4 linked regions of the Canis lupus familiaris genome follow. The protein of the gene in region 4 interacts with the protein of the main gene of each other region in a pairwise test. Links are inferred from orthologs where the notes say so. Each region holds a gene or a part of one and is shown on either strand. Other genes may lie near its edges.

The links.
Region 1: the proteins of PGBD1 (region 4) and NR4A1 interact in binary tests that used the Homo sapiens proteins (3 or more experiments, as listed by UniProt). The two-hybrid records come from large-scale screens. The link is inferred for Canis lupus familiaris from reciprocal best matches to the Homo sapiens genes PGBD1 and NR4A1.
Region 2: the proteins of PGBD1 (region 4) and ZNF496 interact in binary tests that used the Homo sapiens proteins (3 or more experiments, as listed by UniProt). The two-hybrid records come from large-scale screens. The link is inferred for Canis lupus familiaris from reciprocal best matches to the Homo sapiens genes PGBD1 and ZNF496.
Region 3: the proteins of PGBD1 (region 4) and MEOX2 interact in binary tests that used the Homo sapiens proteins (3 or more experiments, as listed by UniProt). The two-hybrid records come from large-scale screens. The link is inferred for Canis lupus familiaris from reciprocal best matches to the Homo sapiens genes PGBD1 and MEOX2.

What each region holds. Positions count from the first base shown.
Region 1 is NC_049248.1:43,697,537-43,701,514, reverse strand, and holds the start of NR4A1 (nuclear receptor subfamily 4 group A member 1), read right to left. Parts: upstream 2,801-3,978; 5' UTR 2,737-2,800; intron 1-2,736. UniProt on the Homo sapiens protein: Orphan nuclear receptor. Binds the NGFI-B response element (NBRE) 5'-AAAGGTCA-3'. Binds 9-cis-retinoic acid outside of its ligand-binding (NR LBD) domain.
Region 2 is NC_049229.1:279,363-283,422, forward strand, and holds the start of ZNF496 (zinc finger protein 496), read right to left. Parts: upstream 2,801-4,060; 5' UTR 2,752-2,800; intron 2,508-2,751; 5' UTR 2,331-2,507; intron 1,521-2,330; 5' UTR 1,302-1,520; intron 982-1,301; 5' UTR 945-981; coding exon 555-944; intron 223-554; coding exon 39-222; intron 1-38. UniProt on the Homo sapiens protein: DNA-binding transcription factor that can both act as an activator and a repressor.
Region 3 is NC_049235.1:30,370,403-30,374,454, forward strand, and holds the start of MEOX2 (homeobox protein MOX-2), read right to left. Parts: upstream 2,801-4,052; 5' UTR 2,441-2,800; intron 2,238-2,440; exon of another isoform or gene 2,077-2,237; 5' UTR 1,785-2,076; coding exon 1,271-1,784; intron 1-1,270. UniProt on the Homo sapiens protein: Mesodermal transcription factor that plays a key role in somitogenesis and somitogenesis and limb muscle differentiation. Required during limb development for normal appendicular muscle formation and for the normal regulation of myogenic genes.
Region 4 is NC_049256.1:26,902,289-26,906,541, reverse strand, and holds the start of PGBD1 (piggyBac transposable element-derived protein 1), read right to left. Parts: upstream 2,801-4,253; 5' UTR 798-2,800; intron 1-797.

The DNA of each region.
Region 1 (3,978 bases), on a different chromosome or scaffold from region 4:
GCCGGAGTGCCATCTCAACCCTCATGTCACAAAGCCCCCGGGCAGTGGCCCAGCAGGAGTGGGCTCAGCTGGAAGGCCAGCCACACCCCGGTCAGCCTGGGAACCCTAGGGAAGGCATCTAGCCAGCATTTCTCTGCTGGAACAGGGGGAAGCTGTGTTCCTTCAGCCCCCTGCCCTCCCGCACCGGGTAAGGCGTGGGCAGGGGCTGGAAGAAGGGTGGGTGGGAGAGGCAGCCAGGCAAAGCCTTACTTAGCCCACTCTCTGGGTGAAGGTATGTCATTTCTCCAACCTGGCACTTCTGGGAATATTCCCAGGCACAGCCCAGCCTTTGCAAAGCCCCCTCTCCTCCTCCCCCCACGGTGCCTGGGAAGGACATCCTGAAAATGGAAGAGGAGTCGAGACTGAAGGCCCAGCTGCTAAGCAAGAGGCCTAAGCAGCCCCGAGCCTGTCCCCCATCCCTGCCCCCACCCGACACACTGAACAAAGGCTGCAGCTCCCACGCGCACCCCAGTCCTGCCATCTGGGGATGGGCACCCACTCGGCACCGCCTGGGATGCTCCCAAAGGCAAAAAGGAAGGGAGCCCTGGCCCTCCTCAGCAATCCCCAGTTCCCCAGGGGATCAAGTAGCCGGGCTCCAGACCTTTAAAGGCTGTACACCGGAGGGAAGCCGAATAGGGGCAGGAAGGAGGAGAGAACAGGCCCCCTAGACTTCCAGGAGAATGGACAGTCCCTAAGAAGAATTTCTCTGCTACCCCCAAAGCATTGCCTCTTGTTAGTTTTATAAGAGAACTCTGAGTCCAGCAGACTCGAGGTGGCCATACAGGGAGGAGCCTGTTGGCGGGAGGTGGGCAGATGGAAGCCATCCTGCCCCCGCCTGGGTCCCTCCACGAAGGAGTTTCTGGGCCCTGAATAACCCAGGCGCTCAGGCAAAGAGGGTTGGTTACACCCTCAATCATGAGCGGCCTGAAGGGGCAGAGACAGCACCACTTAGAAGGAGATCCTCAAGTTTGCAGACCCGTGGCAAACTAGCGCAGAGGCGGCCCCGGGACGGGTTCCCATCCCATGTCCACCCCTGGGGTCTGCACGGCTCTGGCCCTCCCAGCCAGGGCCGGGGGGGGGGGGGGGGGGGGGGGGGGGGCGGGGCAAGAAAGCAAGCTGGAACACAGAGTGCCACGATCAAGGGAACAGAGAGAGGGGGCAAAGGCTGGCACCACCTCCTGGCCAAGAGCCCGGGGAGGGGGGGGGCGAGGGGGGGAACGTCCTCTGGGTCCAGCCCTCTCCCACCTCCACGGGCGACGCACCCCTGGCCTGACACTGCCACAACCGGCCGGGGGCCACACAGCCCCTCAAGCTCTGCACCAGCCACCCGGTAGTGCCCACCCGCCCGCCCGCAGGCATACGCGGCACCTGCAAGAGATAAGAGTGGCCACGTCTTCCAGCGCTAGGACAGCCGGGGCAGGGATGGGTTTGGGGTGGAGAAGAGGTAGCAGCCACCTGGAATAAGGCTGGGTGTTCCAGCCTTATTCAAATCCTGTTTCTCCACTTGGACATCCCACATCCGGATCAACCCCCACCAACCTGTCCTCCCCCTCCACCCCCCTCGGCGCAGGTACTTAACTACAGCAGATATGGACCTGCATCCAGCGTCAAGGGGGTGGGGGAGAAGCAGTCCCCCAGGGAGGAGGAAGAGGCGGGGCTGGAGGAGGGAACAGGGAGGATCCGGCTTCAGGCAGGTCCTGGCAACAATGTGGTTTGCACCTGTTATGCTGAACAAGCTGCGGGCTGCACCCTACCTGTAGGATCCAACGGGGACTGGGGGGAGGGGGGCACGGGTGTGACCGGGCTGTGGGGCTGTGGGGGGTGTCCTTCAGGTACTACACCAGGGACTCCAACATGAGCAATTCTCACTCGGGATCCCCAAGGACCAAGATTTCCACACCTCTCTCTCTCTCTCCTCTGTCCGCACCCGCCCCCACGCCCCACAGGATCCAAGACACCTCTTAACCAATCTTCCCGGTGCTTCCCAGACCCTGCCTCTAAGAAGACTGAGTGGAACACCAGCAGCCCCCCTCCACAGCTCAGCCAAGCCCCCCATGCTGGCCACTTCCTCCAGCAATCCAGAAGTCTCCTAACACCGCTCAGGCACCAACTTCGGGGATCCCTGCAAACTAAGCCACAGCCTCTAACGTGTTAAGAAAACAACTAAAGGAACGAGGGGTGGGGGAGGAGGCCGACCAGCCGGGGAGGAAGGAGACCCTTTTGGAAACCCAGAGCTGGCAGGAGTCCCGCGGATCCTTGCAACTCAAGTTCTGGGGATCTTCCCCCCCATACACACACACACACACCCCGCCCCACTGTACCGAGAGCCCATCAGCACCTCGGTCCGGGGCGCCCTGGGCCACTCGGGCACCCAAGTGGGGGGGGGGGCGCTGAACCACAGGCAGCCTCGTCCCCAGCAAGTCCCCACTCCCGGTGCCAACTCCAACTCCACCCCACCCCCCCCCCGCGGCTTCCACCTGGCTTCCACCTTGCACCTCTCGGGCGCCCGGGGGCTGGAGTGCGGCCCGGGTCGTGCCCCCGCTGCAAGCGCTCCCCCCGACGCCCGGGCTGCACCCAGCGCCCGCGCCCCTGCACGCCGACCCCACAACATCCTTTCTGCCCGCGCGGACGGCCGTCTCCCCCATGCAACACCCCGAAAGCCGGGGCTGGGGCGCACGCTCCCCGCGGGGCACCTACCCGGCGGCTCCGCTCCGCCCGCCCGTCCGTCCCGCGTGTGCGCTCCCGGCCGCGCGCTCCGGGCTCCGCAGCCTGTGCCGCTGGGGCTCCCCGGCGCAGCCCGACCCTCCTCTTAAGCGCTCCGTGACGCACGGCGAGGGGCGGGGGCGCCACTGACGCACGCGGCCCGGCGAGCTGTGGCCATACAAGGGCGCGGGGGGCGGCGCGGTTCCGGCGGGAGGCGGCGGGGGGAGGCGCGGGCCGGGGAGCCCGGGGGGCGGGGCGAGAGGCTGGAATGTCTGCGCGCGTGACGCACGCGGGGTTCCATTGACGCAGGGAGCGCGGATTGTTTGATCTATAAATAGTCCCCGCGCGCCCGCCGCGCCCGCTAAAAATAGCAGCTCGCGGACTCCCGAGGCTCCCCCCGCCCCGCGCGCCCCGGGCCGCGCCACCCCGAGGAGGGGGCGCTCTAGAGCCGCGGCCGCGGGGCTTCCCCGGGCTGAGCTCCCTGCAGCGCCCGCTGCTCCGCCTTCGCAGCCGCGCAGCCTCCCCGGAGGCCTGGGGCGCACCTCGGGGCGCACCCCGCCCCCCCCCGCAGCCTGCGCCCCTCCAGCCCGCGGCGCAGCGCGGCCACTTACTCCCCAGCAGCAGGGTCACCGGGTCGTCTGAGCCTCGAGCCCCCCTCCCCCCGCTTGCCTCCGCCCCCTACTCTCCCACGCAGGGCACCTTCCGAGGGCAGGCGTTGGCCGGTGGGCCCCGCTCCACGCGCTGGCCCTGATCGCTTCCCAGTCCCTTCCAGGGTGGGTGCGCTGCAGCTGGGAAATGACCGAATTTCAGAACCGGGCGGGGCCTGAGAAATCTGGTCAAATTTGTGCCGACTCTTTTTCCCCATTTTATAAATAAACAAGCTCGGAAATGATGGCACTTGCTCAAGGTCACACGGCGAGGTGGTGGCACACGCTGCCCCCCCCCCCCAGGGCCTCTCACTGCATCTCTAGGGGATCTTCTCACGCCCTCCCCTGACCACCTGTGGAGAGGGTAGCCTCGACCTGCCCCGTGAAGCCAGAAGGGATGGCCAGGGCTGCATCGATGGATCGGGCACAGGCCGCACTGCAGCCACCTGGAGGCCTCCCTGGTCTGGTTGTCACCTCGACACCCCCATTCCACCCCTGAACCTGGGGAGCCTGCACCTGCTAAGTAAGAGAGAGAGGGATAGGAGTGCTAACGTTTACAAGAAGAGACACCCCCCCCAAACACTGGGGT
Region 2 (4,060 bases), on a different chromosome or scaffold from region 4:
CACCAAGCACCCAGCATGGGGCATCCCTGGGCTGGTACCTGGATCCCCGCTGAGCTGGCCTTGCAGTCTGCTTGGGAGCCCAGGGCCCTGTGCCAGCGCCACGGGCTGGGTGTCCTGGCCCTTTGCAAGGTCGCTCTGGGGTTCTGTAGGCAGCCGCTCCTGCTCCTGGTCTGGAGGGCCATCCCCATCATCGATCACCACGGGGTCTTCACAGTGCTTGAGCTGCAACCCCAGAGAGAGCTTTTCAGGGCTAGCTGACCAGGTGGGGGCTGGTGGCTATGCTGGACACTGGCCAAGCACCCTCCCTCCCTGGGCCTGCTGCCCGCAGGAGGCGCAACTAGACCCCGTGCAGGGCTGTGAGGAAGCTTGACAAGACCACACCCTTGGTCAGGCCCGTCAAGGAGGAAACCCACCTTCTCAAGAGATGGACGCCCCAGCATGGGCCTCACTGAGGCCCGGAGCTCTAGCAAACTTTCCTAGCCTGGCCAGGGCACGCAGACACTGCCTCTCCCCTCCCGCCTCCTGGCCCGCCCCGCTCAGCACCCTCCACTCACCCACTGCCAGGGTCTCCCTGGCTCCCGCTCAAGTGCCTCCACAGCAGCCACGGCCTGATCGCCACTCTCAGGCTCCTGGGCCCGCACCCAGCCCTGGATCTCCCGGGGCAGGATGGCCAGGAACTGCTCTAGCACCAGCAACTCCAGGATCTGCTCCTTGGTGTGTCTCTCGGGCCTCAGCCAGCCCCGACACAAGTCCCAGAGGCGGTGCAGGGCCTCCCGGGGGCCCGCTGCCTCCTGGTAGCGGAAGCGGCGGAAGAGGCGGCGGGAGGATTCAGGGCTGGGAAGCTCCCCCTGGGGGCTGGGGTTCTCTCCGGGTGGGCTCCTCATTTTCCTGGGCTCCTCGCTTTCCTTTGGAGCCAAGACTCGGGGGCACAGGGCTGTGGGCATGATGGGGTTTGATGGGGGTCAGCAGCAGAAGACGACCCTATTTCCAAACAAAAATCACTGGCTTCAACGTTCTGGTCTCCTGTGGGAGGTTTTTGGGGGTGCTGATGGGGAGAGTGGTGAAGCCCCCAGACCAGCCCCTGGGAGAAGCTTTGGGATATGTGAGAGGCATCAGCATGCCTGCTCCTTGCACACACAGAGAGGGAAGCATGCCACCACCCCCAACACCATTCCACAGTACAAGCACGTAAGTCCCGGAGCTGGGTGACACACAAGGTGAGGAGTCTGGGGGGAAAGCGCAGGACAGGACACGGGCAGGGCCGTGTGCAGGAGACAGGTGTAATGAAGGCTCTGTGGTACCTTCGGGGGCCAGGGCCTCCTGGGCAGGACCTGAGACGCAGGAGCCCAGGGGGCTGCTATCTTGAGGCTTTGGAGCCAAAGTCGCTGTCCTGGTCCTTGAGACCTTTCCAAGAGGAGCTGGAAAGACAAAGATGCGCATGCCTGGGAGGAGCCTTCTGAGCAGATCCAGGAGCAGAAGTCAACCGTGCTGGTGGCCAGGCCTGAGCAGTGGCGTCCGACCTGGGGAAGGAACCCCAGGCAGCATAGTGGACAGGATGGGATGAAACAGACAAAGAGTGGGGAGAAGCCAAGGCTGCGGCCACACCCTGGGGACCCAGAGAAAGTACCTTCATGTTTAAAAACAGCTCCCTCCCTCACTACAAAGTCTGAGCAGCACACTCTGGGGTCTACTTCGGTCGCCCTGGCCTGCAACCCTGCCGCCACCCTGCAGCCCCCTGTCATCTCCGACCGGGGTAAAGTCCTCTAGGGGCCAAGGTGGGGTGCTGCCATCTGCACCTCCTCGAGGCACACACCCAGGGTGACCTCAGTGGCCAAACGCCACCACTGTGGCCCCAGGGACTCCAGCAAAGTAGAGCAAATGGGGAAAGGCCTCGAAGAGCTGTGGACACCAGTGTGTGCAAGACTCCGACACCCCCATTTCACAGGTGAGCACTGAGGCCAGGTGGGCAACCAGGTAACACAAATCAGGATATGGGCTCGGCAGGCGCCCCCCCCCCGCACGCTGTCTCAGATCACAGCGCGCCTCCCCCGCCGCACACCTGCAGGGCCTCCGAAGCCTGACGCCCGCCCTCGGGCATCAGCCCAGCAGACAACCCGCTAGCCTTTGTCACCCGGCACCGGGCAGAGGCCCAAGGGGTCAACTCACGCCGTTCCTGGGGGCGTTCCGGCAGCGGGCGGGGAGTAGCGCTTCCAGCAGCTCCGGGGGGAGGACGGCCAGGAAGCGGGGGCCACGCTAGGCTAGGCCCGGGCCAGCTGTCCTCGTCCCCTCCCGCTCCCTTCCCGCAGTCTCGCCAGCGCCGCGCTGCTCACCTCACCGCCTGGAAGTCCCGCCCGGCGTCTAACTGGAATCTGTCGTGCTGCAGCGGAAGCGTCCCGCAGCCGCTCCTCATCCTTCCAGCCCGCGCTCGCAGGGGCCCTCCCCGTCCCTGGCTCATCCAAGCACCGCGGCTGCGCCCGGGAGTGGAGCGGTGGGAGCCACGGAGGCGCCTGAAACGCGGCATCTGTGTCACGGTGCGGCCCCGCCCGCGCCGTCCCCGCGTCCCCGCGTCCCCGCGTCCCCGCCGCTGGGCTCCGGGCAGGCGGCCGGGCGCGGGGCGCGGGGCGCGGGGCGCGGGGCCGGGGGACGCCGGGACGCGGAGCGCGCGGGGACGTGGGGCCGGGGCCGGGGCGGGGGCGCAGGGCGGGGGCGCAGGGTGGGGGCGGGGGCCCGGGCCGCTCGGGCCGCACTCACCGCCCAGGCGCGTCCCCGGTGGCGGTGGCGGTGGCGGGGGCGGGGGCGGGGGCGGTGGCGGGGACCGCCGAGCCTGGCCGCCGCGGAGTCCGCCGGACGCGCAGGAAAGGAAGGGCCGGAGAGCTCCGGCTCCCTCCCCTGGGACACTTCCTGCTCCGCTCTAGGACCCGGGAGGTCTCCTCGTCTCAGTGGTTCGCTCCCTCCGCCCCCGGCCGAGGTGTGCGCTGGGGGTGACACCCGACACCCCCGCCCCCGGCGTGGTCCGGCCGGCGCGCCCCGCCCGCCCCGGCTCCGCGCGCCCGGGCCTCGGCGTCCGGCCGGGGGCTTTGTGGGCCGGCGCCCGGCGGCACCAACGACGCGGGGCGCGCGCGGGGGAGGGGGCGTTGGCGGGCTGCCGGGGGGGGGGGGCGGCGGGGCGCGCGCGGGGCCCTCCCGCCGCCACGCCCCCAGCCCGGCCGCCCCAGGGCCTGCGGCACCGCCGAGGGCCGAGCGCGACCCCTGAGCCGCGCCCGAGTGCTGGAAGGGGCGGGGCGGGGGGGGCACCCGGCATCGGCGCTCCGGGGGCTGCTCCGTCTCCGCGCGCGCCTGTGGCCCTGGCGACCCCACGGCCGGGGGGACCCAGTCCTGCTGCCGCCAGAGCCCCTCCGGCCCGCCCGGCCGTGGCCGTTGCTGAGGCCAGGGCTGGGGGGAGGTGGGGGAGACGGCGCCCTCCTCCCGCCCCATCCGCGGCGGGACACCCGGCAGTCCCCGAGTGAAGCGGGTGGAGCCCGCGCCCTGCTGGGACGGAGCGCGTTTGCGGAATGTCAGTTAAGAAAGGCTGCCCCTGCGTGGCCCTTGTGCGCGTCGGGACAACCCTATGGTCAGCCCGGGTCCCAGTGGGCAGCCGGGAAGCTACGAGCTCGCTTTAGGGGGGAAGGCCACTTGGATGTTCACATGGTGGCGCACAGAGAGGTTTTGAGCCTTTGGAGTCCAGTGCCATTGCCTGCCCCCCAAAGGGCTCCTTGACACTTTGCACTATGCTGCCCACGGCCCAGTGGCCCAGAAAAGGTCTTTCGGGGTCACCCTGAATCTTCCGGGTTTCTGAGGGTCAGAGAAGCCTGTCCCAGGTCTCAGCACTACATCTGCACCATCTAGGTGGTCTACACCCAGGTGGGCCTCTCCCACCAAAGAGAAGGCCTAGGGAAGTTTCCCTGCACCTCTTGGGCACCTGACTGCAGGTCACTGGTGTGCTTCAGATCCTGTTTGGAGGCCAAGCAGAAATAAAACCACTTCTCCCAGAAATGGGTAGGAAATATCAGAAAGGGAGACA
Region 3 (4,052 bases), on a different chromosome or scaffold from region 4:
GCCATTTACGTGGGATCTTACCTAAAGCATTATGAAAAACAAACATCTTCCAATCCTTCGCATCAATACCTGTCATTGCCTTCTAGGACTGTTAAACCAATTCCACAAAAGAAGAAAAATGTGTAAATATTATATTAAACAAATGACACTTTCCAAAAGGGATGGAACGCAGGGCACGCTGTAGCTACAGAAGAAAATCCACAAGTCCCTTAATTGTAAAGTATCTCTTAACAATTGGACGATGATACAGATTGTGAAGGGCTTTAAGGAGTTGCTTGGAAAGCTTTAGTGTCTGGGATTGCTACAATTTACTTGGCAGTCTGCGCATTCAAGCATCTGCATTTAGTAAGGTTCGCTTTTGCGTGGCCACTCAAGTTATCCCCACATAGATCAGCGCCTCCTGCGCGCACCCTCGAATACCAGCCTTAAGCACGTAGAGAACCAGCACTACCCCGGCTGCTGTTTGTTTCCAAATACTTGCCTCCAATAATACTCAACAGAAAGATATTTTACTTTCCACTTTGAAACTCAGATTCCCTATTTAGATTAGCACCACACGAATACAACTACTATTAAAAATCGTTTTTTTTTTCCGCAAGAGTCTGAGCATGTATTTATTTACCGTTCTTTGACACATTCCTTAAAATCCTCTGAATTCCTAGATTGTCTCCTTCCCCAAGAAAGGGATTTTTTTTTCTTTTTTTTTACCATTTGGAATAGGGTGCTATTTAAAGAACTCTGAAATCAGAATAAAAAAAAAAAAAAACTAAAACTTTTTTTTTTTTCTCATACGTTCTGCCAAGTTCCACTGCAAGTTCCAAATATTGTGCAATAATTTGGAAATCCAGTTAACGATGGGAAAAATCGAGCCAGTCGGAGTCGGGAACTTGCAAGGGAAGAGTCAAGGAGCGGCACCCGCACGCACGCCCAGCGGACGCCGCAACCCCGGGTGCGCTCCCCTCCCCACCGCTCAGATGGAAGGTCACGCTTTGCAATCGATTTCACGTACTGTCACTTGTCCTTTTTTCTTAACCCTCTGGTAAACTAGTTTGAACTTTGGAGAGCTTATCGCTGTTGGCTGCAGTGTTGCCCTTGGAGAGAAACACGTGCCCCCAAATAACAGGACCAAAGCAGCCCCCGCCGAATTTGGCGGCGCGGAGCCAGAGAGGGCGAGACGCGTACCCTATTCCCCGCCGCCTCACTGTAGCGCCAGAAGCTTCTCTGTCCTTTCCCCGCCCCCTTTCGCCGACCGTGCCCGGTGCGCTCTTACCTGAGCTATCACTTTTCCTTTTGCCGCCACTTCTCTTCTCCGCCTCCGCGGGTGACAGCGCCTGGCGGCCGTAGTCTCCTGGCGCGCACGCGGCCCCGGTCGGGGTGCTGGAGCCCAAGCTGGAAGAATTGGAACACAGGACCGGCGGGCTGCTCCCCAGCTCCGGGGGCCCTCCCGAATCCGGCTGGAGGCAGAGGCTGTGACGAGCCGCGCTCGGGGGGGAGGACATCTGCGGAAGGTGCCAGTTGGTTTGCAGAGCTTGGTGCTGCTGCTGCTGGTGGTGGTGGTGGTGGTGATGGTGGTGGTGGTGGTGCCCCCTGTGATGCTGGCTGGCAAACATGCCCTCCTCGTTGGGGTATCCCGCGATTATGCAAGACGAGGAAGAAGTGGAGAGCTCGGGGTAGGACATATGGTCAGATCTTCCATGGAGGGCGAGAGAGGACTGGGAAAACGGGTGCAAGCCTTGCGCGGTGGCGTGAGGGCTGCGCAGGCAGCCAAAGAGCGGGTGTTCCATAGCATGCACGTCTCAGGTTCCAGGCAGAAGACTTCACGATGGTTCCGAACGCTACCACCCTCTGTCACTTTTCACTGGAAACCGTGTGTTTTCCCCCTCCCAAACAAATTTTACCCGCCGTTTCTGCAGAGCTCGGATAATCCCGGTCCGGAGCCCTAGCGGCCAGTCTCCTTTACATATAAACACTCGGACCTGGAGAAGCTTCCCTTCGAGCTACTCAGATGTCAAGAGTAGGAGAGGTTGAAGCCAAAAGAAGGTGGTCCCAGAGAACTGCGTTCAGGGGGAAACGGCTCTGAGAGGTTATAAATAGAGTGTAATGTGAGCTGGGGGCTGGCTCAGGAGCCCGGAGCTGACCACATGCAAACTCCCTCCAAAACTCCCGCTCAGTCTGCGCCACGCGCTCCCAGTTCCACTTCCTATCTCCGGCTGGACGTGCGCACTGCGTCCACGCCCGCCCGCCCTTGCCAGCAGCCCAGGCTGCGAGCCGCGCGCCTGGCGCCTGAGCCCGGCCCGAGCCCGAGCCCGAGCCCGAGCCCGAGCCCCAGCCCCAGCCGCGCGGACAGCGGCTCTCCCCGCCCGCCGGGCCGCCAAGGTGCCCTCCGCGCCCGCCCGCGCACGCCAGCCCCAACTCTGCACCCACCGCCCGACCCGCTCACTTCTCTTGTCACTGCCACTCGGGCGCTGTCACCTGCGGGAAAGCTCGGGGTACGCCCGGCTCTTGGGCTCGAAAGGGGAAGTAGGATTACGGAAAAAAAAAAAAAAAAAAAAAAAAAAAAGATTAGTTTGGCGCGCGCTCAGACAAGTTTTTCAAACTCTGCATCGACTCGTGCCCAGGGCGCAGCGGCGCGTCTAGCTTTTCGCAGCTGTTTTCTCCGTCCGGGTGGGTGGTTACCGCGCTCGGACCCGGCATCCGAGGTTTCTGGGAAGTGCCCCGCGGGTAGGAAAAGGGCCATTCTCAGCGCCGAAAAGAGAGAGACCTGCTGGGGTGCGGGGGACAAAAGCGTGGGGGCAGCAACAGTTGCAAGATGTCCCGAGACGCTGGCATCCTCACCTGCGGTGCCAGGTGGGGGTCTTTCTTCTCTTCCTATCTGAGTATGCCTTTCCTGCTTTGTTTGCACAACGTCCTTGCCCTTGCTTTCCTGGTCCACGTCAAATTCCTAGCCATTTGTCAACCCAAAACTTTTCGGGCAGGAAAACCCGAAGCGCTATCGCCGTGGTGACATGTGATGCGGTATCTTGCAAGCACATTTCCAGTCTTTCCCCTCAGGAGTCAGCTCATGTCCCCTCGTCTCCCTCCAGAAATTCACCTTCTCTTCCGCTCGAAAATAAATCAACTAATGGCACTGCTTCTGGCTCCCCCTTCCACCCCCCCCCCCTCCCGCGCCTGCCGCCATGGTCCCATTTACAGGGCAAATATTACACTTCGATAACCCCCAAAGTTCACCGAAACTGGGCGCTGCTTCAGATCTCCCTGGTTCCGCTCTCGCATCATACAAAATTAGTTAGAAGACTTGCCGTCAGTGAATCAGTGAGTAGGCGCGGCGGCTGGGCTTTAACACTGCCACTTGCTTGAGGGGTGACACTGTCTGCTGGGGGCACAGTCGTTTACACAAGGCAAGCGAGCCGCACTGAATGAGCTACAGAAACAGTCAAGTCCTGTCTGGGACGGTTCGCATCAGAAGATTGGCGCTCACCTATGCCGCCCAGGACCACAAACATGCCACCAGCAGTGTAGCCCCGTTATTTTCATTGTCTCACGTGTCCAGAGGATGGGGACCAGGTCTTTGAAGTTGTTAATGGGATTAATGAGGACAGCAAACCGGGCCAGCCATCTGGTTTGAATTAGGAAAAAGTATTGATTAATCTTTGAGAAGTGTCCCCAAGGCAGAAACTTTCCCTCAACTAGTCCCTTCAGGTTTCAGCCTATCTCCCTGGTCTTTTAAGCCCCACTGCTGAATAGTGGCCTCTCAATAAACCTTTACATCCGTGTGAAAGTTCGAATTGTTTTCCATTGCTTAGAGGTGGGATGGGGTGGGGGTGATCAGGAATTCTGAGATTTGTAAGCGCTGCTTTCTTTAACGGAAATTGAGCCCTATTTTGAGGGAAATTAGTTTTGCAGACTTCGTTAAAAAAAAAAAAAAAAAAAAAGCTAAAACTTTTGTTCACCAGCTGCTCAGCTTTTCAGTCTGGGTCTGAGCTGGAACCTGCTGCAAGCTTTTGACGGTAAGACTTTCTTTGCCGATATGTTTTGGGAATCTAATATTGTTT
Region 4 (4,253 bases):
ATCTCCTTTTGTGTTCTCATTAATCACAATTTCAGCGTATCTCTATTCCAAGAACACTCAAATCTGGCTGACTCCAGCTAACCTTTACATTCCTGACTCAGATCTTAAAATGCCAGTAGGATGCCTTCCAGTTTCCAGCTTCTCCTGGTCATAATTTCAACACATCCCAAACTGAAATCCAAGTCCCTCAAAGCTGTCCTCACTGCTCTCCCCATTCCATTGGCATCACCACCATCGCCCCAGGCTGAAAACCAGTCTCTACACATTGAGTCCAGCCGATCCTTCCTCGGAAGCACCTGGTGCTGCCATCCCCTCCCCTTTCATTCTCCTATTACCTTTACTTACATTCACGACTACAATAATGTCCTGACCTTCGCCGGGTTTTTACTGGTTTTTACTGGTTTGTCTGCCATTCGGTGAACATTTGAGCACGTCATTATTTTCCTGGCAAAACGCTAATCCCGGAATAAAAGACACAGCCTCTACCTCCTGGAAAGCCATGGTCTTCGCAAACTCAAGTCACCGCTGACTGCTCGGGCTTTTCCTAGCCACCTCGTCCTCCACGGCCAGGACTGCCCTTCTAGGGAGGCACATTTCCCAAGTCACGGTGCATACGCCATCCTACAACTCCTGTCCGGACGAAGGAAACTCCTTTGTGCTCCAGACTATTCGTGGGAGAGCGAGCCCGACCCTCAGCGCCCACCGGGTCCTTCTCCGGCTCTCGCCGCCCCCCCCTCCCCGTGCCCACCCCGGGGGCAGAGGCCCCGTCCCCACAGCCCCAGCGAGCCCGCCCCCACCTGGCGTCCAGGCAGCAGGGCCGTCCGAGTCACCGAGGGGCACCTGCGCCCCCGAGGCACCCCGAGGCACCCCGAGGCACCCCGCAGGCGCCGGATACCAGCACGTCCTCCTGCTCTTCAGCGGAGGAAACAGCTCAAGGATGTTGCTCAGCAAAGACGCGGCTCTCCCGACCGCACAGGCTCCCGAAGCCGCAGAGCCCGACCCGCCGGCAGCCGAGCGGGGCTTTTGTAGGAACGCGGTCCCGCCTCTCTAGGATCCCGCCGCCACCACCCCGCGCAGGCGCGGCGCGAAGCCCAGAGCGCGCCGCTCGTCTCCGTGGGCCCTTTCCATCAGCAACGGGATGGCAAAGCCGAGACCCTTTTGTGAGGCTCCTCTCGGGCTTCTGGTTAGACGATGAAGGAACAAGTACAATATGGCAAGCAGCACAAATTCCTAAAATTTAAATATGCAGGTGATACTATTCCCAATAAAAATTCAATTTGCATAGAGACCATAAATGAAGAATGCCCCATCCCTAAAGTTAACCATTGTTAATATCGTGTATGGGTTTCCCAGCACACTATCAGCCACGTAGTAGCACCCAATCAATCAACGTTTGTTTACTGAACGTTTATGGGATCACAACATGAATTTGCATCTCAGCCTTTTCTGTTACCTTGGAGATCTTTCCATACGAATTTATTTAACAGCCTAATAGTTTTCCATTGTATGGATGCACCACAGTTTACTCAACTATCCTACTGTTTTATAGTACACGTGTACACATATATATGTGTATATGCGCACATATATATATACACATACACTAAGTAATGCTGCAGAGAACATTTAATAGCTTTACATGCTCTTATAACTCCAGGTTAACTACTACACATTAGAATTGATCTGTCAAAGAGCATGTGCGTTTAAAATTTTATATACAGAACCCCTATTTTGAAGGGCAGTGCTGTTTAAAAGCAGAAGAATCTAAGAGAAAAATCCAGAAAAAAATGTAAGTATGGCTGTTCACAAAATCAGAATTATAAATGACCAATTAACATCCAAGAGACCAACGCTGACAGCAAAAATATTCTTTAAAAACCGCTTAAAATACTTATTTTGTATCCACCAGAATGTCATATATGCAAAAGGATAATTCCCAGGTTTGATGTAGGCATGGAAAAATGGGCATTTTCAGACTAACAGAAGGTACAGATTAGTATAACCATCCTGGAGGGCAATCTGGAAAATGAATCAAAAAGCCTTAGAAAAATGTGCCTACCTCTTTGTCTCATTAATTTTAGTCACAGGAATTGAATGAAGGAAAATTCTACAAAGTGAGCAAAGCTGTATGTCCAAGGATGTTCACTGAAATACTGTTTATGGTGACAAACTATAAACTAAAATGACTAATGGTAGGAACATGTACCACAGAATGTTGAGCGACCTTTCTTAGAAATTGTCTTCAATGAAGACTTTTAGTTATCTGGTGTCTTAATCAGGGCTTTCTTTTATTTGCTGGCAAGGAAACAAGGGCATTTCTTGGACTCCCAGGACCCACTGGGAATATAGTGGACCTCAGGAGAGGAGGGTCAGAGTCACTTCTCCAGAGTCTCTGAGTCTTCATTCTTTTACTTCTCACTGGGCTGGTTTGTTTCTATTTGGTTTTCATAAGACCACAAAAATGGTTCCAGCTCTAGATTAGTTTCTTGTTCAAATGCCTAACGAAGACCAAACAGAATCTGTGATCCAGTATGAAACTTCTGGGGGTATCCAAATGACCAAGCCTGGCTAAGAGGTCCCCCACCCTGGTCTAATGCTCAGTGGTCAGAGAAGGGTCACATGGCAAGCTGCCCACTCAGGATCGTGGCAGAAATGATAGAATGGACTTGGGCAGACAGGCAAATTGTCCTTTTCTTTTACAAATCAAAACTGTTAATGATATGAAGTCCAGTGAGAAAAGTGAAGTGTTTCTATGCATAAAAAAGATCAGTATCTCAGAATACATTAAGAGATTATGTCTAGACCACGCAGCAGGATGATTTAGTTTTTTTTTTTTACATGTTTTCAGGTCTTTACAAAGTATATGAATTTCTATAATAAATATAATGGGCAATTATATATTAAAATTAAGCAGAAATTATCAGTACTAATCACGATTCATTTGATTGTCATATATATACATGTATGCACGAATGTATACATGCATACATGCATGTATATACATGCATATACATACATACACTAAACAATGATTATTTTTGACAGGTGAAAATTAGGATGCTTTATTTTTTCCTTTCCTGTTTCTCCATACTACATGAATTAACGGCACATTTACTAATAACTGTATCAGTTTTTTAAACAGGAGTGAGCAGGAAATGTTCTTTTTTGAACATTACAGGATACTATCCCAACAGAAAAGCTGATCAGTAGAAGATACTTCACAATACAGCTCATCCTTTCTGGGCTGCTATCCTCTGAATAGACTTACAGCTTTCCTTTTAGGGCACCTAACAAGTGTTGCATTGCAAGCAAAACCTTCAAGATCTGTTATAACATTTGCCCTTTGTTCAATGTTTCTATAATCTTTGAGAAATAGAGAAGAAAAGCACATTATCAAAATATACCTATATCCAGGGGTGCCTGGTTGGCTGTCGGTTAAGAGCCTGGCTCCTAGTTTTGGCTCAGGTGATGATCTCAGGGTTCTGGAATCCAACCCTGAGTTGGGCTCTGCGCTGGGTGTGGGGCCTGCTTGAGATTCTCTTCCCCCTCTCCCTTTACCCCTCCCTGCCCCCATGCTCTCTCAAAAAAAATTTAAAATATTCCTGTATCCAACATATATGTTCAAGTGGTTATGAGTGCGCCCCCAGGGCACCGATGAGAAGACAATTTCCTTTGGGACTGTGAGAGGGAGTAGGCTAGTTAAGGTGTCCATGAATTTAGAACACTTATAATGTGTGTACTATAGAATCATCACAAAGAAAGCTAAATTTTCCAGTTATTGAAGGGTATGTCATTCTTCATGCTTTGACTCTTGTCATTGTCATTTATTTTTCATGAGAAAAATAAAGACATTCTGTTCTTTCCTTCTTAAATGGAACAGAATCAAACAGATTTAAACTATGACTCAGAGCTGAATGATAGGTACTGACTTCAGCACAGCCATCAAAACACTTGGGGGAAAATCTTCAATACCAACTTAATTTTATCCATCAAGGCAGAATAAAAGAAACACAGCTTTATGACCCCGTAAGGAATGGAATATGACTGTTCCATGAAATTCTTTAGTGTCTCAAAAAGTTGCTCTGCCTCTACAGATTTGGTCCTCCTCCAGGAAACAGTATTTTTTTTTTTTATTTTTTTTAATGATAGTCACACACACAGAGAGAGAGAGGCAGAGACATAGGCAGAGGGAGAAGCAGGCTCCATGCACCGGGAGCCCGACGTGGGATTCGATCCCGGGTCTCCAGGATCGT